Yarrowia lipolytica: one gene and its partners. The protein of the gene in region 4 purifies or fractionates together with the protein of the main gene of each other region. This does not show direct contact. Links are inferred from orthologs where the notes say so. Each region holds a gene or a part of one and is shown on either strand. Other genes may lie near its edges. The genes, in order: YALI1_E19483g, YALI1_F12080g, YALI1_E05390g and YALI1_A05821g.

Region 1 (7,641 bases), on a different chromosome or scaffold from region 4:
AGAGAACCTGACTAAAGAGCCCAACCGTATCCACAGCGGCAGTAGCAGAGGCAAGTGGAGTTTTATTTGATCTCTGCAAGTTGCGCTCTTGAGAACCTCGAGTTGGAACCACGAGTTGGAACCGCGAGTTGGAAACCACGAGTTGAATCCGACGAGCAGCAACGCTATATCAATATCACCAGACAACGACGGGAATGAGCCATGTGAAGAAATAGTGCGCCACTCTCCAATGATCTATTAGTTCTATTAGTGTAACATGTACCGGTACATAGCGGTAGAATCCAATTGCAAATGCATCACTTGCGCTTAAGTCCACGTCTAGCTACCCAAGCCTCGGAACCAACTCCGCTGTTCACGTCGAAAGAGACGTAGGCCTGTTCTCCACCCTTTCGAGAGTCCCACAGCTCGTAGACAGGCAGGGGAATACGTCCTCGGACCAGCACAATGGCCTTATCGGCTGCAAGCTGCGCGTTGAGCAGAGATGCTGATACAGGGGTATGCAAACGGACGCTAGCTCCTGCAAATTGCACCATGGCCTGTCCAAGACACTCGCCCTGCGGAATGTCAAAGTTGGGCAGGTACTGGAGTCCGTCGGGGGTGATTTCCGCGTGCTTGACGGTCTTCTTGTCCATCGTCATGACGGCCAAAAGAGTGGAGTTGGTAGACAGTGCCACATCGGCCAGATCAACGCCCTCAGAGTCGAGAATACCAACGTAAACAGACTCCAGACCCACCTCGAGGGCCGGGAGGTCGCTCAAATGAGACGCAAGATTGCCTCCGTGCAGATACGTGACAGTCTGGAGCGAGTGTTGTTCTGCACCTGTGAAACGTGGAGGCTCTGCATCTGGAGCATCGAGAACGTGCGATCGGGCCTTGACGGATTCAGCCAGTCGCGCCTGGTCGGCGTCGACGCCGGGATCACGTGTAAACACCACGTCTGACGGCTTCACATGATCTATGAGCTGTCGCAGAAGATCGTGTCCCGCAGCACGCACCCAGCCGCAGGTATTGAACACCAGGGGCAGCTTGAGACCCTTGGCGAAGTCGATAACTGCCTTACACGCCTCAATGTACCCCCTGGTGTCATCTTTGGGGTTGTTGTAACCCACAAACCGACTGTAGGTGGGGGCTGTAACGTGTGTGAAGGAGGGTCCCAGAATGGAATAGGGACTAAGGTGACCTGCGCCAATAACAGTCACAGACACCTGACCGGGGGCAGTGAACTCGCAATTGCTAGGATCTAGATCCACAAACGCCACAGAGGTGCCGGTCTTTTTGGTGGTCATGAACGCACTCAAGTATTTACAAAAGGTGGACTTGCCGGTGTTTTGAGAGCCCACTACCATGGTGGAGGAGTGCTTGAGTCGCCGAATGTCGTCACACACTTCGGCCCATTCGTCATAGATGCCGGGAATGACCGCTGCCTGCGATTTCGTCACTACACTGGCTGTGTTGTAGATTCTGCTGTAGTTGCTGCCGTCATCCTCAGAGCAGTGCCACAATTGACGCACAAACGGCACAATGTTGCCCGAGGACATCTTCCCAAAGTTGCTGACCGTAATCAACGGGTTTTCTGACCGTCGCGGCATTGCTGCGATCTCCACAATGACCGAGGATCCCTCCAATTGATGCAATGCCTCCATGACGTCTTCGTCCCCCGATTCTCGAGTTTCGGGAGCTCCAGCAGCAGCCTCGATTTGAGGAAGAGCGTGAGACGCGGGCGCAAACACGGGAATATCGACCGGAGAGTTGATGTTCACCAGAGCTCCGTTGATATGGATAACTCCACTCCACACCGTGACTACATAGGCTCCCCGTAGAACGATGGTTTCTTTGAATTTCATGCCGTGGAAAACTCGCGATCGACCGCGAGTCTCATCTCGTACCACCTTGGTGTTCTTTGCACTGAAATCAAAAGTGCTGAGCTGTCTGACGGCCTCATCTTCTTCGGTGATGCTGATGAACGACTCCTCTGCATCCGGAGAGTCCAGAGGAGGGTTGGTGACCACAACGACTTCGGGATCCGAATCCTCCGAGCTGATGACCTGTTTTTTCGTCGGCTTCAGCGCACTCAACGCACTTTTCCGCTTCGTCATGGTGGCTTTGAAAAGATTTCAACTACCCAGTGTTTTTTCTCACATACATGCACATGCATAATAATTTTCGAATAGAGTTTGGGGGGGGGGGAAAGAGGAGCGGATTATACGAATGATATTGGGGGTGATTTTGGGGGCGATTTCGTGTGACAAACATGAAATATCATTGCATTAAACCGCTAACAATGTTGTCATATCCATTGTGTCAAAATTACAACTCCGTCGGATCATTTTTGAGCGTACTACATTGTGTTCTCTAGACCCCTACTTTTCCCAAACCAATGATACAAATCTATAATGCTAGTTATTTACTGCTTGCCTCGCTTCTTGTTGAGCACCTGCTTCATCTCCTCCTCGTCCGAGTCAGGCAGAGCAATCTCGTTCTCGTCCTCGTCCTCTTCGTCACTTTCTTCGTCCTCGTCCTCGTCCTCATCATCCTCACCTTCGTCCCCCTCACCCATCTCGACATCGTCATCATCGCCCATGGCCATGATCTCGGACATGTCGTCTTCCTCATCGTCTTCGTCAATGTCCTCTTCGCCCTCGACAAACTCGACCTCGGAGTCGGACTCCTCGTCGTCGTCGTTGGCGCCGTGGCTGGCGTTTCGCAGTTCCATCTGGGCCTCAAGCATCTCCAGACGGCCCTCCAGAGCCAGCAGACGATCCAGTGTGTTGACTCGGGTATTAAGAGCCTTGTGAAGTCGCGACACAGTCACCAGCAGCTTGGGCACGGTCACCAGGTATCCTCCATGTGCCACCATGACCCACTTGATCCAGGCGTTGAACTGTCGGCCTCTAGAGGGTTGGGCGGTCATCTTGGCAGCCAAACGCTCCAAAAGTAGCACGGCCAGATTACTGTTGAGTCGCTGGACGGTAGACTTGATGCCCTCCTCGTCTCGGAAAAGGAGACACGACTCGAGCAGATCGTCGTCGTCGGACTTGATGGCCTGGGTAAGAACAGTGGATAGAGATCCCATGGTCGGGGGAGCAGTTCCGGAAAGTCCGCTCTTGGTGGTCTTGTTTTCTCGCTTGAGAGCGTCCATCTTTTCGGCCAGAGTGGCAGACTCGTCGTCATCGGACTCGTCGCTTCCTACACCGTTCTCCAGCTGTGAATAGTCGTCTCCAGCAGCAATGATAGCGTCCTCCTCGTTGTAGGACACGGGCACAGTTCGCTCCTCGGTGTAGTGGTTTGCGGCGTTTTTGGGGTCGTGCACCACCGTCATGGTGGGCTCGGTCTCCAGAGCAGCCAGAGTCACGTGTGCAAACTGGGCCTGGGCCCGCTCGGTGTACGAGTAGTAGGCCTCCTTGGCGGTGAGCGCGATGGCGTCGATGACGAGGTTCTGGCCGGCAGCCTTAGTGCCCCGCTCCAGGTCCAGCGATGCAAACGAGGACTTGGTGACAATGCTCTTGCGCTTTCCCTTCTTGCTGTTGGGGGTGGATCCGTTAGTCTGGGCGAGCTGGAAGAACTCGGCGGCTCCTCCCTCTGTCAGGGCGGTGAGAATGTCGCCGTTCATGGAGACACGGTGGGCACCCGACTCGGCCATGAGCACCAGCACAATTTTCTTCTGAGCCACGTTAACCACGTTGATGAGACGGTCGCCAGCAACGGCAGCAACAAGGTCACCTCGAACACACAGCTCGGTGACAGTAGAGGTGTGCGAGGGGATATCAAACAGAGCCGAGTCAAACGAGACGGCCGACGAGTCATCGCCCTGGGGGCCGTAGACGGCGATGTTGTGGGTGGCCAGCAGCACGTTACCCGAGGGCAGAACGGCCACCAGCTTGGCGCCGGTCTTGTCCACAGATCGTTCCACAGAAGAGCCCTTCCACACGTTCAAAAGACCTCGGTTGTCAAGCGAGTAGGTGGTGCCGGAGTTGGCGTCGACGTCAAAGTCGGCCACAGGCAGAGAATGGCCGCCTCGGAGAGCAGACACAAGCTTGGCCTGGGCGGGAGAAAAAGTGAGAATGTCGCCCCGGTTGGTTCCCACAGAAACTAGATATTCCTCGGAAGAAGCAGCCGCCGAGTCCTGGGTCTTGGTCTTCTTGCGTCGAGAAGACGACGAGGCGCCCTCGCCAACGTTCTTGGTCCACTTGAGAGCAGTCACAGTGGTGCCCTTCTCCAACACAAACTCCACGGGCTGGAGACTGGCATTGGCGCCTGAGACCGCCTGGACACGGATCTTGTGCTGGTTAAGCGCACTTGTGACGCTGGCGTACTGCGTGAGAGCGGGATCGAATCGAGACAGCTGTTCCGACATGATGTGTGTGAGTTGTGGTGGAATTATCTGGCTTGCCTGATGGTTGTCCAAGTGCAGGAAAAAATAATTTAAACTCTGAATTTTTTTTCTGCATGAAAATTGACCGAGACTTGTATTGTAACAAGTACATCTGGTGTGGTAGAAGAACAGAGCAGAGAGCGTTGGAGTTGCGGGGAAGCGTGGAAACGGGGAGTTTTGGGGGGTTCCGACTCTTCGGTGTCGACCCGAAACGTGCTCGACACAAAATATCTCCTCGTATTTGCCACTATATGTCATTCTCGATGATCCACCGTAAACGAGGTTACTTTAGCATCACAACGGGGAATCGAACTGGCGCGCTGTCGAACGGTAGAGGAGTTGGCAGGCGGCGTTGGTTCGATTTTGACCTGTGCCCGGAATGGGAAACATTTAGTTGTCGTGTAAATCCTCCAAGACGAGACGGTCGCAACAAACCAACTCAACCATAGTACACCATTGTACAGGAGCTGTACAGTAGCTACACGCCCATAACGATCCCACCAATACCAGATTGACTCATGCACTAGGGTTAGTCACCGACAACACATAATCTGTTTGTCTCCAAATGCTCAACGAAATACCACACTTTGGACCAAACCGGTCCGATAGTCGTGATAAACACCCCCGGTTTACTCACTAGCCGAAAAACTGGACCCCTTGCAAGTATTTGTTGGCGTTTTAACAGCTATGTAACCCCGATGGTCTAAACTGAGCTTGTTCATTGTCACCAATGTTGTGGTTCGGAGTGCAACAGAACAACCCAAAGTCGGTTCTTGTCGCCAACAGCCGGCTGTTCCCTCCTTGGTCTCCCCCCTCCCTCCCCGCCCCCACAAAATTGCTCTGCGACGTCTCATTGAGTCTGAGCTACGTCTCATTGAGTCTGTGCTACGTCTCATCGAGTGTTTGCCATCACGTGACGGGCCCAAAAAAAAAAGGTTTCTCTTTGAGTTCCCGCATTTTAAGCTCATTCTGGAACCTTAAACGGGGTAGTAGTTGGATGATGGATGAGAATGAATTGACTGACAAACTTGTACGTGTTTTGAGGGAACAGGGTTGGTTGCCCAAAGGCACCAAAATCAACAGATTAAGAGTGGGAAATACAATTCTTGGGGCGTGGCTCTGGGGGGGGTATGTAGGATCACGTGACCTGGCTGGATCGGTGGCGCCGTTCTCCCAGTGCGACTTGCACTTTCCTGTAGGGTGGCTATCACTGTTTACGACTCTTGAACTCTATCTTTGGGAGCTCGAAAAATATATAAACATGCATAAAGCATACAAGGCGCGTAAGAGCGACGAGTCCACCACGGCACAACCACACGTTTACCACAACATACACGCAGTGAAATGAGCGACAGAGAAACTTCAGGGAATGACGACCTTTCGTTGCCCAAGGGTGAGTAGAGCCGGAGGGGGGGTTGTGTTTGTGTTTGTGTTTCTGTTTGTGGGGGGTTGAAAGTTGTGGGTCGGTTATTAACCCAGCCACGGTGCAGAAGATAGTGAGCGAAATCATTCCGTCAGACCTGGCGTTTGCCAAGGACACCCGCGACGTGTTGATCGAGTGCTGCATCGAGTTCATCATGATGCTGAGCACCGAAAGCAACGAGATTGCCGAGAAGGAGAGCAAGAAGACGATTGCGCCGGAACATGTCATCAAGGCTCTGCAGGAGCTGGGATTCATAGACTACATTGAGCCCATCAAGGACCTGATTGTGGAGCACAAGGAGGCGCTCAAGTCGCGGGAGAAGAAGGTTGGAAAGCTGGAGCAGTCGGGCATGACCGAGGAGGAGCTGTTGAGAAAGCAGGAGGAAATGTTTGCTGCCGCCAGAAGCAAGCTCAACAACAACGCATAGGGTGGGGGAGGGGGACAATGAGGTGGCGACACCAAACGGTTGGATAATGGGATAATGGGATAAATGGGCTGGTTAGGACAATGTGTGCTACATACAGGATAGTCTACGTGTGGTCGATGTGACGACAGTTGCATCCACGAAACGTACTAATTGATACTGTGGTGTTGGCTCTATGTCAACATCTTTTGGCATGGTGATCTAGAGTAGCGGCCGAGCCGGTTCCGCGGGTGTATATAGATGTATCATATTTGATTTGCATAGGCACCTTTTGGATTGGATTGGATTGGATTTCACCAAGACCAGTCCTTTTTTTTTTTTTTTTTTTTTTTTTTTGAAAAAACAAAAAAGGGAAAATATTTTTTTCTTCTGCATTTATTTCCAAAAAAACTCGGCTGATGAACAAATAGTTGAGTTTACAGTTGAGATTTACTTGACAAAAACATTGTTTTTGGCCTCGATCTGAGACACGCTACAACTCGGCGAGCATCGATATTTTCACAGATTGGACCCTGTACATATAAGCACAGTACCAACAGCCCCTCTGACACCTCTCAAGCGTTTGTAGCTCTTTTCAACCAGCCATTTTAGCACATGTCTGTGTCTGCGACTTTGGTTTCTTTTCTGAAAAACTATTGCAACTTCTTGGGCAACAGCAAGCAGTGACCGCGAAAATGCACGTATAACAAAGGGTACAGGAGTCCAAATCTATTTTTTGAAAGTAAAAAATAAAATGCCAGACTCGTGTGTATCCGACGATACAGCTCTCGCGCCCTGTGCATTGTATTATATGTTTCTACAGCCAAACCAAAAGTGCCCCAGCAGCCTACATTGAATTTCCCTTGATGCGTTACCCTACCTTCAACGCTAAGGTTAACGTAACCCATCAAAATATAGGGAGGTATGGAAAAAAAAAAAGGTAGCATTACATTGCACCGAGTGTCCACGCTATCTGAGAACGACAAATACAGCAAGATGGACACAAACGCGCTGTACTCGTGCTTCGAGGCCACCACCAACGGCAACCCCAACACCATCAAGCAGGCCGAGGCCCAGCTCAAGGAGGTGGACAAGATGCCCGGCTTCATCCACAGCTGTCTGGACATTGTTCGGGAGCCCCAGGCGTCGGACAATGTGCGCAAGGCCGCCTCGGTCTATCTCAAGAACATGGTCACTCGAAACTGGAACCCCCACACCTCTTCCAAGAAGCTGATCCGGGTCGAGGAGAAGCCCGAGTTCCGGGAGAAGCTGGTGCCTACTCTTGTATCTGTGTCCGGGGCTGAGGGCGTCAATTCGCTGCTGCGATCTCAGCTGGTGGCCATGCTGGCATACATTGTCGTGCTGGACTACCCCAAGGACTGGCCATCTCTGCTGGGCCAGGCTGAGCAGCTGCTTCAGAGCGAGTCGGACCAGGACAAATTC
Region 2 (7,400 bases), on a different chromosome or scaffold from region 4:
GGCAACAGCCTGTAACTCGGGGATGTCGGCGTTCTTCAACGCCTGGTAGTACAGCTTGTGCACACTCTCAGAGTCCACTTTATCGGGAAGATCGAGAACTGAACGACCATGAAGAACCAAAATATCAGACATGATCTTAAGAGCTTCAACCTTGAACTCAGCCTCGCCCTTGTGAACACAGTGTCCGAAAACCATGAGATTGTCCGACGCTTGTTCACGAGATAACAGAGAAAGAAGACCCAGGCATCGTAGACCCCGTTCACGGATTGTAATCACATGAGAGCGAACTGAGGGAAGAACCAAAGAATCTAGTAGACCGCTCAGCTCGACATTCGACTCCAGAGACGTCTCCACCTGCTCAAGCACCGTCTGTGTGATAGCCAGACACCGCAAAGTGGTACAAAGCACTCTGTCTGGGTCTTCAGACTCACGTGCAATGTCTTCGATATCCACCACGATTTCAACCAGCACCTGGATGAAGTCTCGCTCTCGGGTGCACAGTTTGTGGAACACGTTGACAACCGCAGACACAAGAGTATCAGAGAGATCTTTATTAGTCAGCGCATTGGTGAGCACGTCCACAATCTTTCGTCGTCCGATTTCATCACCAAAATCCAGCTGCTGCGCCAGAAGCAAAAGCTGCTCAAGCACAAACTCCCGCTCGGAGTATCCCTCTTCGTCCACGGTCAGATTTTGGAGATCGCGCTCAATAAAGAAAGCAATCTTTGTAACTTCTGGCACCTGGGCGTCCACTAGATCGTCGTAGCCCTTCTTGAGACAGTATTGGGCGTATACACGCGCCAGGAAGGCCGTTTCTGGTGTCAAGGTGTCCCACGAATCTTTGAACGAGAGGTTGGAAACCATTTGGGGCTTCTGGTCAAATATAATCTCGACGGCAGTCTCAGCTACAGTCGAATTGAGCACATCGAGACGCTGCAGAAGCTCCAGGACGCTACCGTCACAGGTTTCGAGCCATTGGGTGACAAGCATCTTTGTGGCTGCCTGTTCCACACTCGTGTCTCGGTCCTTGAGACCCCATTGGAGCAACTTCTCTCGCATGCCGATCCGCAGCATTCGGAAATCACCAATGCTCTTCATGGTCCGTCCATACACCGACCGTCGCGTGATGGAATTGGTATCACGTGCACGTTCAAGAAGATAGGGAAGGGTCTTCTTGGTCACCTTGAGGTTGAACAGGATAGCCCGGCGCACGTCGGCCGAGGGATCGTTCTGGATCAAGCTCAGTAGCAGCTCCTGTAGCTGTTTCTCCTCCGCGGACTCCTCCTCTCCTTCCTCAGCAGAAGATTGGATTCGGCACAGAGCCAACACGGCCTTTAGCCGTGTGCTGGCGTCCTTGTCGTACGACCGCGCAAACATGGAGTCTCGCAGGTCTTCAAAAAGGTCGTCGTCAATGTCACTAAGAGAGTTGATGACGGTAGACAGAATGTGGCAGCATCGGAACCGCACATGTCTATCTTTGGCCTGGGTTCCTCGGAGCACGTGACGAATGAGTGCCTCGCAGAAACGAGACGCCACTGTGCTCTCTTCCTCCTCATCATCTTCATCTTCATCCCGGTCTTCCTCTTCCTCCTGAAGACGTCCCACATACGAGCCGATGAACTCGACCACCTTGTCGGCCGACTTGTCGCCCTTCTTGCACGTGAGCATGCGGTTCACCAGCAGCAGAAACTTGCGCGTGAACTGCTCTTCCATGTTCCACTGAACTGCTCCCTCGTGTAGTTGTTGCATGGACACAATGATCTTTCTCTGCGCCACTAGCGACCGCTGCGCCTCCTGGAAATACTGCCCCAGTAGCGAGTACAGCTTGGCCTCGTTGCGGTTGTTGGCTTTGACCCCGACATGTGTTTTTTTGGCCGTCGTCATGCTGAGTGGTGGTTTGATGTAACTGGCAGGTGTATAGTGATGCGACAAAGGGATGTTTGAACGCGTCAACAAAGGCCGTTGCCACGGTAACCACCCGGGGGAAAACTTTGTATATTGTGCGGGGTTCGATTCCAGCTTGGGACATGTGATTCAGAGAGTGGAAAAGTGGAGGAAAAGAGGACATTTGGGGTTATCAAAGTGGTATAGATGTATTTGACGATTGGTTTTTTTTGGTTTTTTTTTTTTTTCACGTGATATTCGTCCGTTTGGGGGCATGGAACCCCCGTTTTCTTTTACTTGACTTGGTGTAATAGTTTGTTACATATTACTTGACTTGGTATAATAGTTTGTTACGTGTTACTTGGCTTAGTATAAATGTTTGTTGAGAATTACTTTAAGCAGAACAGAACACATCTACAAGACAGACTAGAGAATATATATAGACAAATCCAAGAGTGCAAGTTGTTGCAACGGTCAATTTACGATATTATTATAAAATCAAACTTATTACGCCCAGTATCAATCTCCATTCAAGTCATCTTCTGAACACCATTGACTCTACACTTAACATCGCCAGACCACACTTTGCTATACAAAATATGGTGTTGCTGGTTAGATAAAACAACTCTGAAAAATGCATCTTGTTGGTCTTTTTCCGCTCCATATCATGGTTCTTTCAGATTTCTATTACGTCCACTATTCGTCGAGATAATTCCAAAACACGTAAAACGTGGCCAAAACCAAAAATGAAACCACTGTCATAGCATTTCAGTCTTTAGCAATCTCTTCAAGCCCTCTTTCTTGTTATACAGGCTCTACATAGTCCGCTACTTGTAGGTGCTTCTATCACCCATTAGTCACATGACAAAGCCTAAATAAAAAAAAATCTGCATATGCATATAGGTAAGCCAAAAAATTGTGAGAGTGCAACATATCACAAAAACAGCACACAACACAATGGACGTTCATAGATGCCGTTTTGTGGACTACAATCCGGCCGGAATCACGGCGCTGGCGTTCAGCCGACGCTCCGAGCTGGACCAGAACGCCTCGCCGGACCTGAGACTGGCTGTGGGACGAGATAATGGAGATATCGAAATTTGGAACCCCCGATGGAACTGGCTCCATGAGACGACTTTGCGGGGAGGAAAGGGCCGGTCTGTCGAGGGGCTGGCGTGGTCTGACTCGGGCGACTCTTCTGGCAAGCCGCGGCTGTTTTCCATCGGAGGATCGACCGCTATCACCGAGTGGAACGTGTCCACGGGCCAGCCCAGAGTCAACTACGACTGCCACAGCGGTGTGATCTGGTGCATTGCCGTGAGCGACGACGGAACCAAGCTGGCTGCAGGCTGCGAAAACGGCTCCGTGGTGGTGGTGGATCTGTCTGGAGGCCCTGGTGTGATGGAGCATTCGCGAGTCCTTCAGAGACACACCTGTCGAGTGCTCAGTTTGGCATGGAGAGGCTCGCAGGTGGTGGGCGGCTGTTCGGACGCGCGGATCCGGGTCTGGGACGAAGACGGATCCACCATTGCCACCATGAAGGTCGACACTGCCAAGGGACCTGTGGCACAGGACGACGCTACTCTGGTGTGGACCGTGGCGGTTGTGAAGCGAGCCAAGGGCGATCTGATCGTTTCCGGCGACTCCACGGGCTCGGTCAAGTTCTGGGACTGCACGCACTTTGCTCTGAACCAGTCGTTCAAGACCCACGAAGCCGACATTCTCTGTCTGGCAGTCGATGCAGCCGGAGACGCTGTCTTTTCGGCGGGTGTCGACAAGACCATCGCCTGCTACGAGTCTGTGGGCAAGCGATGGAACCAGACCAACGTGCGGGGCTACAATGCCCACGACGTGCGAGCTCTGGCTACTTACGAGGCCAAAAACCTGTCTCTTCTTGCATCTGGAGGCGTGGAAAAGGTGCTTGTGGTTGCTTCCGTTAACGAGTTTGCTCAGGGCCCCTACCGAAAGTTCTCGGTGGCTCCCCCGCGAACCCAGACTCTCGTCTATGGCTCGATTGTGGCCATGTGGAACGGTCAGACTGTCAAGCTGTGGAGACGCCTTGAGGGCGGCCAGAGAAGACTGGTGTGCAAACTGACCATGTCTGCCGATGACAACATTTCTGACGTGGCCATGTTTGGTTCTCTTCTGGCGGTGTCTTCTCTTCAGGAGACCAAACTTTTCGAGCTCGAGGAGGTGCTTTCTTCCAAGGGCCATCCCGTTCTGAAACCCAACAAGTTGATGGATCTGGAGGGAGCCCACTTGACCGTCTTCTCGCCCGCTGGAGAGCTGCTGCTCATTTCCTCCGATTCCGTCATTCTCATTTCGCTTAACGAGGAGCTCGCACCTATCGAAGAGCTGCAGGTTCCCGAGGCGGTGCTCAAGGGCAACCTCATTGCCCACGGACACGAGACGGAAATCGTCGCTGCTGCCTTTTCAGATACACATCTGGCTCTGTCGCGGCGATCGGGTCACACGGAGATTTTTGTGCGGGGCGACCGAGGCTTCAAACACGCTCGAACACTCATGCGTCTGTCTGCTGCTCCCGCTACCGCGATGGCCTTCACGGGCGCCAAGACACTGGTGGTGGCCACGGCCGACAACAAGGTGGTGGAGTTCGATCTCGGCTCGGGTCTGCTGACCGAGTGGAGCCGATCCAACCCCGAGATTCCCGACCCCGTGGCTTCTTCGGTCGACCACTGCACAGGCATGTTCCTGGACCCCAGTTCCAAGCACTCCCAGCGAGTGTGGATGTGGGGAGCCACCTGGCTGGCGTTTGTTGACACCTCGACCAACATTCCGGTCGAGCGAGTCCCTAAGCGACGTCTGGATGGAGAGGAGACGGCCAAACCCGTCACTTCCGAAAACCAGACTACCACCGCCTTCTGGTCGACCAGCAAATACAGACCAATCATCGGCGCGGAGATTGTGGACGGCAACGAGCTCGTGGTGGTCGAGCGACCGGCGTTCGACATTCCTCTGCCCGCAGCCTTCTGGTCCAAGAAGAAGAAGCGGGTTGATTAGATGGACGAGACGAGCAGGAGACTTGGGTCACAGGTGTGTTGTATTTGGCATGAGAGGTCACGTGTTACGCCCGAGTGAGGTCACGTGTTTTAGCATGAGGTCACGTATCCGGTACATAGGGTACGAGACCTGTACAATCCAGTCTAGCGCGATACTTGGGTCCCCGAAGTGGATCGACTGGTTGGCATGGTGCATGGATTAAATAGATATTAATGAACTGTTAGATGGAACTGATGAGGTCGGAGGTCGGTGAGGGGGCAATTCGAGACCAGATCTGCCTTAAAGACCGACTTGTGGCACAGTATGTACTATTTACAAGAGACTAGGTACGTACTGTATGAGTAGGAGCCAGTTAGAGAGAATATCAGATCCTCGGAGTTCATTAGGGTGCTCGGATTACTGCTTGACACAGTAGTTGGGCGAGTGTTAGGTAAACATCTACTCGTTCTACAAGTACTTGTAGTGCTCAGCCCATACTCGCCATTGATGACATTTCGGTTCACCCACAAGTAGCTCTTTCCTTCTCTATGCAATTAGTATTTCTTTACATGGGTGAGTATTCTCATTCAGTCGCTTTGCTCAAAGTGAGTCTCTTCCTATCACTGGTGAGAGCCTCATTCAAGCGAGTCTCCTCCAACCACTCCGATCAAGTGAGTCCTATCCAACCATTCCGACCAAGCGTTCAGACACTCCGGTCAGGCGTTCACTCCGATCAAGTGAGTCTTTTGAGCTGCTCAGACGACTGGCTTCGCTCGTCGTCTAGTAATCTCTAAATACCCGAATCAAACCATCCAACCTGTTCATCTGCACCAGCAGCTTCTCCTCTCTCATTCTCAGTCCCTTGAGATCCGCCTTTTCCTGCTCGGTCAGAAATTCATCTTCGTGTCCCTTGACATCCTCTCGCTGCAGCTTGCTCAGCAGAATGGGCAGCTTGGCACGCTCGGCAGCCACCCGCTCGAAACAGCGCGACAAAGACTTGTAAATGTCCTGTGAAATGAGCGAGTATGCCCGGTTGGCTCTATGATGCCACAGAAAAATGGTTCGAGACGCAGCTCTGTCGGCGGTTCGAGGCAGCTCTTGCACGTCCAGAGCGCCGACAGAATGCAAGTCGTGCAGGTGGTTGAGAATCTCCTTAACGGGCAACAGCGCAATATTGGTCAGCAGCTTTTCGTCCACCTTGCCCTTGTCCTTGACAGCTCGCAGCAACCGCTTGGCCACGCGGCCGTACTTCCACTGAATGATCTGCTCGTATCGCGCGCCCCGCAGGCACTCGGTAGCCTCTTTGAAGTTGACGTACCACTCTCCTCCGCCCTTGGTGCCCACGCTCTGCACAAACTTGAGCGGTGAGGCTGCCAAAATCTGCATTTGTTTGGATACTGCTGTTGCTAAAGCAACGCCCGACAACTCCTCTTCCATATCTTCTTCAACGTCCACCTCCTTCTCGTCATAGTCTCCAGTCTTTGTATATCCCTCTTCAGTCTTGACTCGTTTGCTCTGCGGCCGGGGAGAAACGGATCGTGATCCCTTTCCTCGCGGTCTAAGACCGTCCAGGCGAGGATCGATTGTCTTGGCAATCTCCATCGACGTGATGTTGAATTCAGCGCCTGGAGAAGTGTCTTGAGTGCAAGAATGCAGACGGCCAACGTACTTGCTGAGACACTGTCTGTAGACCTCGGCCGCCGTCTTGCCACATCGCTCCTCGGCCAGCTTGGCCAGCTCCTCGTTTCGCGCAATCACCAGAAACTTGTCGGGATTGGCACACAGCACGGCCTGGTGGTCGAGCTTCTCGGCGCGGTTCAGGACAGGGACGCCCTTAGTTCGGGCCACAGAGCCCGACACAAATCCCAGATTCAGCGAGTTGCGCTCCTCCTGCATGCGCTCGAGCTCCGTTTTGGCGCTTACCGCAGCCTGGTTCTTTCGGGCAGACTCGGCCATGGACAGAGGCAGTTTACTGAGGTGGTCTCTGAACATGCGTGCGTAGAGATCTGTCTCGGGCTTGAACTGCCACGCCTGTACGGGCACCAGAAACCGTTTGCGCAGCATCACCGCGATACTGGCCTCCACGCTGTCTCGGTCGTGCTCGGGGGTGGCTTCCAGGTAGTCGGCCACCCGCATGTGTCCGTACACGAGCAGGTTCTGGGCAATCTCGGCACACCTCTCGCCCGACTCGGGGTTGCTTTTGCCGCCGGGGCCCTTGCCGAAGTCCTTTCGCACCGCATCCACCATGCCGCCAGCCCGCACCACCTGGTAAATCTCCTTCCAGTTGGCCACGTAATGGATGGAGCTGGACTCGCCAATGTCGTCTGTATCTCGCCCGGATTTGCGGTCGTTGGCCCAGTACAGCACAAAGCGGTTCTGCACCAGCGCCGCCAGACCACTGTGCACCGCTGACAGCGGCAGTTTGGTGGTTTTGGCGAGCTCAGCAGCCGTCTGACGCCCATAGTCCAGAAGAGACCCCACCAGAACCGCCGATAGCTCGCCGTATATGCCCTTGA
Region 3 (8,007 bases), on a different chromosome or scaffold from region 4:
TCAATTAATGCCTATTTATCGATTAGACAAAGAGCAGACCAGTAAAGAGAGCGAGAGTGACCTCGGGAACACCAACAATGCTCTGCTTTTTGATGTGTCGCTGGGTCTGTCGTCGGTAAGACCACACAGAGAGACCAGTGAAGCAGATGGCACCGGTGACGTAGATGTATCCGAGAGAGATTTTCGCCCAGCAGTTGAAGACGCAGTTGACCTCCTTGTCGGTCATCTCACCGACAAGACCGGTGTATCGGGCCCACATGACAGCCAGGGGTCCGAGGGGCTCAACAACTCGCTTGAACAGGGGAAACAGCAGGGTGATAGGAGAGTACCACTCATTGAGGGTGATGTTGGAGATGTCGAACTTCTTGGCCAGCTTGTTCTCGCACTCGCAGCTCTCAAGAGACTTGTTTTTCAGGAGTGCAACGCCTCGAGCAGTGTGAATGGCAGCAACAACGGGGAAGGCAGCAGCAAACAGAGTGTAGCCAGCAACGGTGCCGGTGAACTGGTAGAAGGAAGGCTCCTTGATGAGTGTCTTGACGGTGTCGCAGAATCGAGTCATTGTCAATGTGTTGTTTTTCAGTTGTCTAGAAGGTGTGAGAATAGTGTTGAGTGACCTGTCACATGGGTTTGTTGGATGGGGTTAGGGAAGCAATGTTCCGCCTTAGACGAGAAGGATAGACTTTTGAATATGCAGGACCTGCATTATCTACTGGAGGCGAAGACATTCAAAAGGACATATTGTAGCTTGTATTTTGGCAAATCGCTCAACCCATAACCACGTTTGCTTGGTGTGGATTTCTTTGTGTCTTTTTGATATCTTTGGCCTTGTTCTCATGGACCTAAATTCTCTGTGTGGAGTTACTTTGCCACAGTGGCAAAACGACCAAGCGAAAGTGAGTTAAGGTGCAGCACGGTTAGTAATGGACCCTTTGATTGGCCACAGTTTTGTCTGGACAACTCAACAACCGCTGGAATAGCGATACTAGAGGTTTATCTACGACGAGAATGGTTTTGTAGAGGAATCACCAGAAGAATCTGAAACAGTAGAAAAACCAATGGCAAGTAAAGTTGCAAGCCGTTGCATTTTAGAAATGTAACAATGAAACCATCTGAAAGTCAAACATGTCGCCATGGTAGTCCCGGCAGACATGGAGCTCTCGCGACCCCCTACAACAGTTGTTTCCTTTAACAAGCACCCACTGTAATTACCGTATGTACTGTAAGTGGGGTTTTGAATTATTTTACAGGCCATCTCATAATGACTACTTGTAGGGGCTGTTTATTCTGTTTATTACACCCCTGGCCAACTTGGGACAAGCACAAGGGCTACGAACATTGATATTTCTCTCACCCACTTTAAAAACATGACATCAAATCCACCGTATATTACAATCTATATATTTTAATACTCCATGAGTACTTTAAGTTGTTTGTTGCCTATGTACGCCGTTTCTTGTACTGGACTGATCGAGCACCTCCATCCTTGGGTCCTCGTCGCTTAGAAGCACCCTTGGCATCCTCCTTTATTTCGTAGGGGTTAAACTGTTTCTTCTCCTTGGCCTTCTGTTTTCGGGCAGTCATGGCAGCCTTCTTCTCGGCGGCCTTCTGATCGTCGGACTTGAGAATAGAAGCACCAGCAGAGTAGTCAAACGGAGTGAACTCCTCGGACTTCTCCTTTGCTACTCCCTTCTTAGCCTCCTTGTCAGCTGTGTACTTCTTGTTAGACTTGGCAATAATGATATCATTGGCATGCTCGTGCTCATCTTCAGAGTAATCAGACTCGTCGTCAGCAGCGGCATCCTGCTCAACCTTGACCTCCTCCTCAGCGTTCTGGACTTCGCTATCAGATTCAGTAGAGTCAACAGATAGGGGTGCGACGGGAACCGCCAAAACCATCATATGCTTATCAATCTTGGAAACACCAAGAGGACCTAGAGCAGTCTCCTTTACATGTACAATAGACGACTTGGAAGAGTCGAATTTGCCTGTGATATCTGACTGTCCGTCCTGGGCTGCCAGGAAGATGACCTCTGCGATTTCAGAAAACTCTGCCCCCTCAATAGACTCGGCAGCGAGGACGGGCTCCTCCTCAACCTGCTCTACCTCAACATGCTCGTCCTTGGAATCCTTGATGACGTCCAGAATCTCCTCAACGTTTTTTCGAACAAGAAGCGGGAGAGACTTGGATACACTGAACACAGCCTCGGGCGTTTGAGGCATTCGGTTGGCAAGTGAAACGAGCAGATAGTTAGGCATCACGTAGCCAGTAGACTCGTCCTCCTTTCGAGCCATGCTGTCTCTCCACAAGAAAAGAGCCTTGGCGACTGAGACACTAGGCCCAGTGATGTGGAACTGAGAAATGAGACGATTGATACCTCCCTCGTAGTCGAACGACTTGAGATAGTACCTTGGGTCGTAGCCGGTGTACTCATACCTCTGGGAAGCAGTCTGTCTGCTCTTTTCCAAAACTCCCTCGATCTTGTCCTTCTGCACGAGCGCATTCTTCAGCTGATCGTAGATGTTGAGCAGGAAGTGGGTATCTGCTCGGGCGTAGAGAAGCTGCTCAGGCGACATAGGTCGAATTCGCCAGTCACTGAGTTGGTACTTCTTAGAAGTGACGAAGTTGGCGTAATGCTGGAGAAGGAACGCTAAACTGTGTCCCTTGAGGCCAAGGGCCTGGGCGGCATGGAAGGTGTCGAACAGAGACACAATGTACAGACCGAAATCTCTTTGGAGCCACTGAATATCCATAGTGGCTCCATGCAAAACCTTGACAATCTTGGGGTCAGTCAAAACCTCATTGAAGATCTCGAGGTTTCGGAGAGCGATGGTGTCGATGATGTAATCTTGCTCCCGAGAGGAAACCTGCACAAGACATGTGATGCCGTAGTATGTTCGCATGGAATGATGTTCGACATCGATGGCTATCTCCTCCTGGGTCTTCAGGTGGTCAACCATGTCTCTGAGTTTCTCCTCTGTGTCAACGTAGATGTATTCATCCTCTCCTTCAGCCTCCCATGGTCGGTTAGGAATGACCTCTGTCTCCTCGTACACCTCATCTGGGTAGGGCTGCTCCATTATCTCCTTGGCGTAGGGCTGTGGGTAGTGATCTCGTCTGTCATCTTCAGTCACCAATTCGAACGCGTCCTCTAGGGGCTCCAGAGCATTTGGTTTCGAGGTGAGTTTGGGTTTGAAGGGAGTGTCTCTCGAATTGTCGACCTCCCACATCTCCTGGGGCTTCCATTGCGGCCCCTTGATCTCGCTAGATGACTGAATGGCATTTCCTACTCGGATCTTCTCTCCGAGCGTCTGAGGGCCAGTCTTCTTGGACTCGGCAATCTCAACCTTGTCTCCCTTTTTGTTCAGCTTTCCGAGCTGAATGTCGGTTTTCTCGTACAGGTCATCGACAACAGACGAGAACTCATTCCAGTGTCGGTTCACAGTGTCGAGCTCGGGAGGAAAAGATCCCACTTCGTTCGGGGCAATCTTCTGGGCCAGCTGGTTGACCACTCCAATGAGCTGTGATGCATTCTCCTTCACGCTGTCGGCCACCTTGTCATCAATAGAGCTGTAGAACTTGATGTCGTGCGAAGCAAGACCACGGGCAGCCTTGGCAGTCTGTTGGGCCAGTCGCACAACACTATCGATTTCCATCTTGTATGTGTTGTGGTGATGGGAATGGACTGGGAATAGGCTGTTGGAAAATTGATGCATATACAGAGAAATAATTTACGATTAGGTTTAGGGCTAGCTAACACAAATCGGGTAGTAATACGGTACATACTATACTTGAAGTTGGAGGGTCCAGCGGATATGGTGAAGTGATAGACAGGTATTCTCTTATCCGTCCTACTCTATTCGACGAGCGGATTTTTTTTATTTTTTGTCAGTCTCTTTGGTGCAACCACCGAAATCTCTCTCTACTATACTGCTTGTGCTGTTCTACGACGTGCATACTTGTATTACTTGTAGGTCGTCTAGCTAGATTGTCTATACCGAATCTTTTATGTACAATGGGTGCTCATACAAACGACCCAGTTATCTATTCTTCATCTTCAGCCTCCTCCACCAGCTCCACGATATCGGTTCCAGGAATCAGACGAATGGTCACATCTGTCTCTCCTGCAATGATGCCCCACATGATGGATCCATCCCATTGTTCTGCAATGTCATTGTAGAGACCTTCCAGGATATCTGGGTCGTTGGACCCCTCTCCAAGAACCTCCTTGATGGCTGCATCCATGCTGCTAGAGCTTCCAAACAGCCATGGCCGGTGTGCAAGAAACAGAGGATTCTCTACCTGCTCCAGCACTCCTTCTCGGAACTTTCGGTTTGCAGCCACCAGCTCCTCATATGTGAGACCCAGAGACTGGAACATGGCCTCTGTAAGTTTTCGAGAGATGGGGGATATGGGAACCTCATCGGGGAAAACTCGAGGCAGCACGTACTTCCACAAAATATCGTCCATGTAGAGATCAGACGAGAGGAGAGGCTCTGTGGGCTTGAAACCACTCTCAGCGACATCCGCCAGCTTCTTCTTGTTGTATTGCATCTTCTTAATCTCCAAGAGAACCCGTAGCTCGGACATGTATTCGTTCATACCCACAGGCTTGTGATCGTGAGCTCCCCACCACCATGTAACCTTTTTGCCTTCCTTCAGAGCCTTGACTCGGTCTGCACGAGCTCGCTGGGCCCAGGGGTCGTATGTGAGGTTTCTCGTGCGTGCCAAATCAAATATTGCGGTGCAGCCGATGAGTGCTGATCCAGTGAGGATGCCTGTAGCCTTGACTGCTCTGTATGGCCACTTTCCGTATTTGGCCCTGAAAGTTGATCTCCGCGGATAGGCTAGCAGCAAGACGCCCACACCCATCTGAGCAGCACATACAATGGTAAGTGCATATTTGTTATCGGCCGCGGGTACCAGTTTGCCCCACATGCGCAGGACAAATGAGGGCTGCTGATACTTGGGAAAGAACCCATCTTGGTCTTTGTCGTTTGCCATTTTCTGTGTCACGTCAACTTCCTAATCAAATGCTTTTATGTTGAGTGTTTGCCACGTTGTGTTAACCGCCCGTTACTTGTTGTAAGGCTTTTCGCTCTTCCTCTCGGCGTAATGAGTGAAGATGGCGTAAATCAAGTCAAATCCTCCTGTTCTGCACGATATGTGATGGAAATGGCATGCATGACTAAGGGGTCCTAACCCTACAACTACAGTAAAGAAACACGGAGTTTGATACTGAAACTATTTCATCCAACAGGACACAGCTATCGTGCACAGAGCAACACTACAGGTAGAAAGAGGTTACCAGCGAATATGTTTTCAATATATCTCAAACGGTGGACGTTACATAAAATCAAGGAGCGTAATCATCAACGGCATCATCACTTGAAGCCACATGTATAAGTGTATGTACTGTACTTCAGATTTGTGCATGATCGCCACGAGCAATATCTGAGAGCTTATAATATAAGTCAAAAAAGGTGACGAGGGTGGTATCGCGAAGGTGGCGAAGACACCAAGTGTGACAGACCCCGGCTAATTGCGGCAGATTGTTATTGAGGGCTTTTGGCTCAAACACGTCGAATAATTACAAGTGCCCTATTTGGACTCCTTCATATCGATACTGCATTTGTATGGGCAGGAGGCGATTATACAGTGAACTACAGACGACACCATAAATGGAGTAACCACTGTAGAGATAGTACGGGCTTGGCTATCGTAACCGTGTATCACACCCTGGATATATTGTTCTTAAACATTAGCGGCCCATTGCCTAATATCACCGGTGTCTTACGACTCAGCAGTCATTCGTGATTACAATACCTGAAAGGAGGCTGCCTCCTTTGTCACAGCTTACTAAATTTGAGTCAAGCCCTTTTCCAGAAGCCCATATGCATGACGACGCGTGTACGAACGCACAAGTACTATGTTCATTCGTTGTCTTTGGTGCACCCGGTTATCTGATTGTTAACATTGATAGCAACATCGCATTGTTGTTCATGCCTGAGCATTTTATCAATCTGACCAAGTGCACGACTTCATTCGAAGTCGTGCACTTTAATTACGTCACGGTCAATTTTGCGTGAATAATGCTCCATCGGTTAACTCCTCCACTCAGCGTAACTGGGTTCCGCACTATCTCTTGGTTAGGATCATTAACACGAAACTTCATTCCCCTCTAAAAGTAATAGCGACAACAGGAGCATGTATTGGTAATCGATCTACTTTTATGTGGGGTTAGCTCGCGCCGTGCATATGGCATGTTGGCCATGGCTTCATTGTGGCTTGGGGCCGTCTATGACGAACACTATATATTAGTAGGACCTCGTCTCTAATGAGGTTACAACTTCTTATCCGACTCTACAATACCAAGAAAAATGGCCCGCACACCTGTCTACTTCATTCCTCATGGAGGCCCCACCTTCATGTACGAGAATCACCCTGGAGGAGATAAAGGAGCCTTTGACTATCTCAGACATCTTGGACGAGATCTGATCCAGAAACACAAGGAGAATCCCGACTCTGTCAAGGGCGTTATTGTTATGTCGGCCCACTGGGAAAGTGCGAACCAGCAGGACGAGAACCCCAAGGGTACCGGTAACAACGAGTTTCCCAAGGTCAATGGTAAGGGTATTCCCGTGGGAATTGTGACTGACAAAAACGACAACTACCCCAACCTCGAATACGATTTCTTCAATTTCCCAGCCCACATGTATGAGGAGAAGTTCTGGGCTAAGGGCAACCATGCCTCTGCTGAGAAGATCGCCAAACTTATTGATAACACCCCTGGCTACTATGCCCAATTGAGAAGTGACAAGAAGTGGGATCATGGCGTGTGGGTCGCTTCCAGAGTTATGTTTGAAGAAGCTGGTGAGGAAAAAGGTGCCCTCAAGTTCCCCATCATCAATATTTCAGAACCTGCAGGTGACGACGTGGACCATCTGAGTCCTCGACAGCTGTCTGAGAGATTCTACAACCTCGGCAAGGCACTCGCACCTCTGAGAGATGAGGGATATTGGATAATTGGATCCGGTATGTCAGTTCACAATCTTCGAGAACGACGTAAGTTTGCTGATGGTGGAGAGCCCGAGTATTCCCAGCCTTTTGAAGATGCTGTCAAGGACGTGGTAGAGAATGTCACGAGTGTGCCTGTTTCTGATGAGCAAAATCTGGAAAACCTTTCAGAGCTTTGGAAGAACCCTCACCGACCAGCTGCCCATCCCACCGCTGAACATCTCTTTCCCTTCTACTTCTCAGCAGGAGCTGCTGACGGTGACAAGGGTGTTCAGGAGTACACAAAGATCTCAGGCAGCACTGCATGGGGTCTATTCAAATGGGGTGGTTCCACAGGAGATTATTAAATGCTGTTTTTAGCTGTGTCTAGCAATACCATCATACCCCTCAGTTTGTGGGGAAGATCCTGAAGAATGTGCGAGCAAGACATGTGATTCGTAGCGTTCGAGCATGGGTGGCTTGTTTATGCCTTGGTAATTTTCACCTTTAGAGCCGTATGAACTATATTGAATGGCAACCGAGAATACGATCGAAGTGTTCGTTCAAGGCTGAGCATTCGTATGCCATGTTCATGTATAACTCGTGCGAGATATTGTGGACGGCCCGTTCCGCATAAGTACTGTCAATACATATCGAATCAAAACCAATGAAATTTTCAGCCTCTTGCAACCGTTGAAACATTAGGTGTCCAGCTATCTCATGAACCGACGGTTATCGGGAATGAATTCCGTAGAGTTCCAGGAAATTTAACCTGCCAGTTTAGCACCAACCCTTGAGGTTTATCAAAATAGGCGTTTGGAGGAGATCCACTTCTTCTTGAGGTCCGCTGGAACAATGAGGGCGTACGCAATGAAGGTCCCACTGAATTACTCGGGGGAAGCATGATCCTCTTTGTTTACAGAAGGAACCGTTAACTGCCGAACTCAATGCGTCTCGATAGCACGAGTACATACTACTTGTAGTACTACTTGTAGCACTTCCGGTACAGACAG
Region 4 (6,570 bases):
TGATGCGGACGTGTTTTGGTGCAAATATCGACCAAATTTCTCCTTCTCTTGACCGGGGAGCTTCTCACAGCAATTATTGTCCTAATTTAAAGCTCACTGCCTTTTTTTGGATCGCTCCGGACACCCTCTTGAGTTATCTCATACCATTATCGCTCCGCTATTTTAAAAAAAGGTTCGGATCCAATATGAAAAAAATTATGAAAAAAATGAAAAAAAATGAAAAAAAATGAAAAAAAAAGTGTAGAGGGGATTTATGTACTACAGGCCACCCCACAAACATGTCATACTCGACTTGGAGCTGTTCACGTAGTTCCAGTCAGCGCTGAACGTCATGCAGGAACTCTCTGTCATCAATGACTCCACCACCGCCAACCTGACGACTGGTACTCTCGATTCGGTGTCTACAGAAATCAAGCTGGAGATCCTCAAACTCAGCAGCTGGAAACACTGGCGTTCAGTGAATCGTGGGAGTCGTACCGAAAGCTGTGGAGATCACTGGACAAGACGTTGGTGCGAGAAAATGTGCTCAAGAGAGTACTGTACACTGGTTCGCGTTGAACGAGGGATCCGCAGGTCTCACGTCCTGGAACTAGTGTGCACTCGTGCTGGTCGCGCAAACACAGAAAAGTCTCATCAAACAGCCCGATATTGGGGAACGGGATGGCTTCTTACTCGTCAAATCTCTGGAACTGTCTTGTCTGGGCAATGTGAGTTGCTATCGCCGCGTCGATGCAACCGATGAGAGTGAAGACAGCGACCTACGAGAGAACATGAAACCCGTGTTTCCGGACGAAATTTATCGACACCCTGACTCAATTGGACTCTACGGAACAAACTGATCCACAACGACACGCTCCTGGACCTGAAGAGCATGCAGACATCGAGAAGACCGACTACCATCCCATTGGACGACATGGTCTACCCAAACCATCTTCCCGGAAGTGCAGGTTTCCAGATCAAACGGTTCCTTGCAGCACACAATGTTTCCCCTTACTTAGGATACATTGAGCCTACCGAGGACTTGCGCCACATTATTTTTGTGCAGCTCCATGTGCGGATGCTGGTGGATATGATGGAGGAGACAAATTTCACCAAGAATATTGCGCCACCTACAATGGTTATCTCTACCATCTTCACGAAGGCCGTTTCCTGAGGCTGTGGGTAGACATGGGGTACTGTAACAAAAGAAGCCCCTAATGCGTCCTACCATCCGAGAGAAGATTGGACACGATACGCCTCCACAGAAAACCGACACACGAGCTCTGACTGCTATCAGCGCCCTTTTCCCCCAGCTTGGCACCTTTGTCGTCTTCCCATGTCTACAAGATTCTTGGAATTATCCAGGGCGACCAGAATCAGGGAATGGACCGATTTGTCACCCTTCAATGGACGGAGATGTCACCTTCGAGGAGCTCATGGAGTTGTCGTTGGTGATCTGCTGACGGGTGAAGCATCTGTGCAAGAACCACAGGCCGACCGTCAACTGGTCTTTCCCTACTTTATATTGGCAACAAGAGGGGGATGACGTGGGGTCTACTCGTTTTCGACATATATCAGCTCTCGACTAACACACCTCACGAGGGTGCAGGAGGTTGGGTCTAACAATCTGATTAGGCGATATTATTCCATGCTTTCTGCGCCTCTCAATATAACCGGATCACTAGTCCCTTTGTTGAGTTCGACTTGCAAGGAAAGAGGGTCTACTCCCTGTATCCTCGACGAACCTATGCTTCTCAGAGTTGTTTTGTTGATGATCCCCACAAGTTTACAAACATTGACTGCGACGTTGAGTTGGTCTACCAGAAGAACAAGGAGCAGGACTTGCAGAACTGGATTGTGGTTCTATTTGTAGGCGATATTCCTCCGACTGCGACGTTTCCTCCACTGACGCAGACAACAATGAAGACTCCGATATGGAACTGATCAAGCACGAGCTCAAAATCAGACATCATGGAAAGAAGCCGTCCATCTACTACAAGAAGGGCAAGTTTGATGGCATAAGAGGCGTCCTGGCAACAGATATGACAAAAAGGAGTACTGTACAGTACAGTACTTCAAGTTGTACCATGAGGCGTATCGGAGAGGGTCTGGTTACACGGATCCTAAAGACAAACCCCAAGCATGGCTAGTGGTATCATTCTTAACCATGAGAAACGAACCTTCTATATATTAAATTGAATGGTACAGTATATACTGTATCTGACAGATTAGTATCTCCAGTTCCATCAAAAAAGGTGTACCATACGATACACCACATGCAATACCTATATACCTACTTGGCCTCCTCTTTGACCTCAGCCTTGACCTCCTGCTTATAAGGAGAAGCGCACTTTCTCTCTTCCGTCAGGCCAGTCACAGGACAGGCCATGGTCTGCCAGTCGGTAGCGTACATCAACTCTCCGATTTTCGATCGAGCGAACAGAACTCCGAGCTCGTTCTTGGCTGTAGAAAGGTAGTAGTTGGCACCATCTCCGAGAGAAATGACCTGTGCTCGCACGATATCACCGGGCTTGAAACACAGCTCCATTTTGACCTTGTCTCGCTCGGTGGCTCGCACATCAATGGACCGAATGATACCACCGAAGCCCTCACCGAGATCTGATCGAATAGCGCCTTCCACCAAAGAGCCCGCATTTGACAGAGGGTTGCTGTGGATACCGTTCTCGTTGCCATTGAGTCCCAAACCCGCGTCCTGGCCCACTCCTCCCTGGCCCTCCACCACCAGAATCTCCACGTTGGCCTGTTTCGACGTGAGCTTTGAAACTCGTGCAAGAATGTAATCGCCAACCTTGGGCAGTCCCGACGAAGCCGAGGGCGACACATGGGATGTAGTAGGTGTAGTTGAAGATGAATCGTCACCCTTGGTCTTCTTCACAATGTTGACCGTGTAGCATGAGCCCTTGGTATCACGTGACTTGTCGTTGTGCTCCGCGCTCTCCTGTCGTTCGCTCAGCACCACCTTTCCCGTAGCTGTGGCGACAATGGCCTTGGCCTGCGACTTGCCAGCAACCTTGGCCTCGGAACCTTCCACAACTCGAACAGCCGTGCCGATTCCGGGGTAAAACTTGTTGCCGTCTCGGTCGACAACGAGAGATATTAAAATTCCAGGTGTAACGAATCCGGGGATCATGTTTTTGTGTGCTGTAAAATGTCCTTTTGTATGGGGTTTATGTTCGATTCAGCCATGCTGTGATGATTATGCATGGTAGTAATTTTTTAAGGTTGGGTTACCCGGAAGTCATTGGAGGCGGGTGGAACGGGAGGGGTCGCGATATGGAGAGATATAGTGGAGATATGGGATTACAAATGGTGGAATTTGTCTAGGCGGGTGTTTTAGAGATATTTTATATGGATTTTTTGTCACATTTGGCTGCTTATGAGCGTACTTGATGCGTGTTTTTTTTCTGATGCTTATGTTAGTTTGGTAAATAAATAGTTGAGTTTAGTTAGATAGTTGGGAAGTGGAATAGTTAGGCCATTGATTTGGATAGTAGTGATAATACCTGGGTGTAATACCTGTGATATGGATTTTGTTTCCGTATCTTCCTTGGTGCAATTGAGATGGTTGTTGAGAGCATTTTACTACCAAGAACTGCATTACCTCCATCTCCAATCCACCTGCCTTTCATACCAGCTGACAGGATATTTTCTGCGAGTAGAAAACATGCACCCTCATGCTATCATAATAATCGCGGCACCTATTCCCCTCACTTTCTATGGTCTTGGTCTTCCATAGCTTCTCCTGCTCGTATCTCTTCATGGTTTTGCTGTCAACGAACTTGGCCACAAACTTGTCGTCGACAAACCCCATAACGATGTCAGGATTCCTCTGATCCTTTTTAGGAGTAAACACATTGGTAGCAGTGGTGCTGGCAAGATCAATCACTAACACTCCCTCCATGAAGTTCCTCAACAGGAAGCGGCCTAGACCTGGCTTTTCACACTGACGGAAATGGTTGTTCAGGTCTCCGTAACCACTCACATTTGCGACCATAACAGTCTTGTCTCTTCTGGAGAAGAAGATCCCTGGCTGTTGCAGATCCACAAAAGGGAACACCACCAGGTGAGGCCATCAGAGACAGCAACAGGCTGAGCCGTGGTGGTGAAATGATCGCGTATCACTTTGTGTTGGAGGTCGAAGAACTGGTACTTCTCACCTTTTGAGCCGAAATAAAGAATATTGGCGCGATTCTTCAACTCTCTGCGATCGAACCTGTATTGAAGCGCGTTCTTGAAATGAAAGGGCTTGTCCCGCGGAAAGACATAGACCGTAATTGCTGTGGCGGCAGCTTTATCCAGCAGCTGGTTCCACGGTTGTTGAAACTGCTGTCTTTTGGGTTGTCATCGGGGCATCAGTGTAGCGTGCTTCTGCACCAGAAGATTCACAGCAGTTGCACACTATTGCTTAAATGCGGGAACGGGGAGCGGGGGGATGAGGGGCAATTTCCCGCTTGAACTTCTCGTTGAACTGCTGGAAATGAGCTGCTGTGTCTGCTTCTTCCTGTCTGAACGCCGTCTAGAGTCTGTTGGTGCGGTCTTTGCGCTGCTTGAGAGTACCGGTGTCGCCCATGTCGGGAACGACCTGTTGTTGTTTTTTTGGTGGCATTGAGAAGGAGCTATGACGAATTAATGTCGTCGATGTAGATGTCAAGTGTAGTTGGAGAAGCGCATCCCTGACGCGTAAGGTACATGAACGTGGAGTTTGTTTTGGGAGGTTGTTTGGTCAAATAATGTAGAAGGCTGATAGTTGGAGGTTTGAGTAATGACTGGGAGATTGGTTGGAAAGGTCAACTAAACACCAACTAACTAGAAAGCAAGTAAACAACTCATACTAACCGGAAGCGTCGAAAAGGTGCTTTCCACCGAACAGTTATGATCGATCTTCGACTTTTAGGAGTTATTTATATCTTCCCATGTAGTAATTCGTCACCTATTGCTTCTCTTTGTTCCACCTCGTACGGTGATTGCAGAAGCTATTTCTCTAAAATTATCACCAGCTGTATCCGGAATTATAATGGTGGGTGCAGTGAAATTCCCTTCAGGAACGTACTTGCGCAGTATTAGAGTGGAAGTTTTTCTGACAGCAGTTTCTGACAATAAAATAGAATAAAATAGATGTTTTTTTTCCGTGAATTTCCTGTCTCTCCAGTTCTGTTTATTCTCATTGTAATTACTCATATTTTTTTTTCTGGTCTTTTTTCTTTGGTCTTTTTTCTAGTCTTTTTTTTTTTTCACTTTTATGAACAGTAATCATTATACTTACTGGCAATTTTTCTCCCACTCCTATCCGGAATTAAAATGTCGGCAGCGGAATTCGATATGGAGCCGATCTTTTCACAGTCCGAAAGACGCGACCAAAACCGCCACCGATAATCATTACTAACCCTGCGCCTCGCTCGTACGGCGTCCTCGACGTTACGACGGATTTATGTCACCGAAAATAGCGCCGTTTTTAGCGCCGTTCTGCAGCAAGAGAATGTCATCAGGTGGAGATGACAGCTGAAGGGGATCACTGAAGACGGACAGGAGCCCTCTGAGATACCATGATCCCCAATACCAACGACTATCGCTTCATTTCCCCCAAAAAACACATCTAACCATGTGTTTATACTGCCAGTCTACTCTTATCACATACGGCTTCTCCTCCGCACTAGTGGCTAGACTAACGGTCTTTGTTTACACGATATATAGGTGAGGGTGGAGGACAAGCGGTGGAAAAAAGATCATTTCAACCGCTTCAACCGCCATGTCTAGCACAACCTCGTCTGAACGACTCCTTCCACCGAAAACTTATGTGCCTGTGCACCACCCCAAGCTTCGAAAGGGCCACTGGATGGTGGCCAAGATGTCCTTCTTCAACGTGCTCACTCTGGCCATTGCGTTGACCGGAATTCTGCCGCTGTTCTGGGGATCCATGTACAAGCGGTCAGATCGAGCCCACAATCTGAAGATGGCCGTCATCAACTGGGACAACGACGTGGTTGGAAACGCCTTCGTTGATCTGGTCAACGAGCGACCTAATCTGCCCCATCTGGTGACTATCAAGCCAGTGGTGTCATCCGAGTACACATCTCTGGAGCAGATTGAGGAGCTAGTGGTGCAGTACAAGTTCTGGGGCGCCTTTGTGGTGTTTGAAAACTCGACTGCTACGTTACGGGCTGCCCTTGAGTCGGGCAACCAGGATGACTACTGGTTCAAAACCCTGCATTACTTCAACACTGGAGGTCGACAGGAAAGTGTGCATGCCACCTACTGTCAGCCTCAGGTTGATGCTCTTGAGTTTCTCTTCCAGGAGCAGAAGGTTCCTGAGATCATTCGAAACCTGACAGCCGACTTTTCCAACGACAAAATCAAAGACTTGCTCACCAACACGCCGCGGCTTCTGACCTCGCCTCTGGAGTTCCAAAACAACGACATTCGACCCTTTTCCGGCGGTGTGGCGTCTGCTATCGACAATGTGGGTCTCATCTATCTCGTCATCATCTCCTTCTACCAGGTGATGATGTGGGGATTCATTCACAACATTCAGGGCGAGCACATGATTCTATGGCAGTTTTTCATCTACCGAAC

The links.
Region 1: the proteins of YALI1_A05821g (region 4) and YALI1_E19483g purify together in Saccharomyces cerevisiae (affinity purification with mass spectrometry; 3 studies listed by BioGRID). This does not show direct contact. The link is inferred for Yarrowia lipolytica from reciprocal best matches to the Saccharomyces cerevisiae genes CSL4 and UTP5.
Region 2: the proteins of YALI1_A05821g (region 4) and YALI1_F12080g purify together in Saccharomyces cerevisiae (affinity purification with mass spectrometry; 3 studies listed by BioGRID). This does not show direct contact. The link is inferred for Yarrowia lipolytica from reciprocal best matches to the Saccharomyces cerevisiae genes CSL4 and UTP4.
Region 3: the proteins of YALI1_A05821g (region 4) and YALI1_E05390g purify together in Saccharomyces cerevisiae (affinity purification with mass spectrometry; 13 studies listed by BioGRID, with this or other methods). This does not show direct contact. The link is inferred for Yarrowia lipolytica from reciprocal best matches to the Saccharomyces cerevisiae genes CSL4 and RRP6.

Annotation. Positions count from the first base shown.
Region 1 is NC_090774.1:1,943,708-1,951,348, forward strand, and holds YALI1_E19483g (uncharacterized protein), read right to left. Parts: upstream 4,631-7,641; coding exon 2,405-4,630; downstream 1-2,404. Other genes in the region: YALI1_E19458g (uncharacterized protein), read right to left, coding at 297-2,096; YALI1_E19488g (uncharacterized protein), read left to right, coding at 5,103-5,720; YALI1_E19494g (uncharacterized protein), read left to right, coding at 5,717-5,765, 5,852-6,222; YALI1_E19508g (uncharacterized protein), read left to right, coding at 7,123-7,641. UniProt on the Saccharomyces cerevisiae protein: Involved in nucleolar processing of pre-18S ribosomal RNA. Required for optimal pre-ribosomal RNA transcription by RNA polymerase I together with a subset of U3 proteins required for transcription (t-UTPs).
Region 2 is NC_090775.1:1,203,450-1,210,849, reverse strand, and holds YALI1_F12080g (uncharacterized protein), read left to right. Parts: upstream 1-2,841; coding exon 2,842-4,905; downstream 4,906-7,400. Other genes in the region: YALI1_F12089g (uncharacterized protein), read right to left, coding at 1-1,884; YALI1_F12052g (uncharacterized protein), read left to right, coding at 4,955-5,094, 5,476-5,531, 5,585-5,625; YALI1_F12033g (uncharacterized protein), read right to left, coding at 5,665-7,400. UniProt on the Saccharomyces cerevisiae protein: Involved in nucleolar processing of pre-18S ribosomal RNA. Required for optimal pre-ribosomal RNA transcription by RNA polymerase I together with a subset of U3 proteins required for transcription (t-UTPs).
Region 3 is NC_090774.1:535,314-543,320, forward strand, and holds YALI1_E05390g (uncharacterized protein), read right to left. Parts: upstream 3,715-8,007; coding exon 1,438-3,714; downstream 1-1,437. Other genes in the region: YALI1_E05353g (uncharacterized protein), read left to right, coding at 1-613; YALI1_E05403g (uncharacterized protein), read right to left, coding at 4,043-5,002; YALI1_E05416g (uncharacterized protein), read left to right, coding at 6,379-7,362. UniProt on the Saccharomyces cerevisiae protein: Nuclear-specific catalytic component of the RNA exosome complex which has 3'->5' exoribonuclease activity and participates in a multitude of cellular RNA processing and degradation events.
Region 4 is NC_090770.1:578,738-585,307, reverse strand, and holds YALI1_A05821g (uncharacterized protein), read right to left. Parts: upstream 3,131-6,570; coding exon 2,273-3,130; downstream 1-2,272. Other genes in the region: YALI1_A05844g (uncharacterized protein), read left to right, coding at 332-457, 624-707, 869-1,153; YALI1_A05836g (uncharacterized protein), read left to right, coding at 1,197-1,426, 1,665-1,923; YALI1_A05813g (uncharacterized protein), read right to left, coding at 3,626-3,994; YALI1_A05798g (uncharacterized protein), read left to right, coding at 5,429-5,460, 5,506-5,695; YALI1_A05795g (uncharacterized protein), read left to right, coding at 5,747-6,570.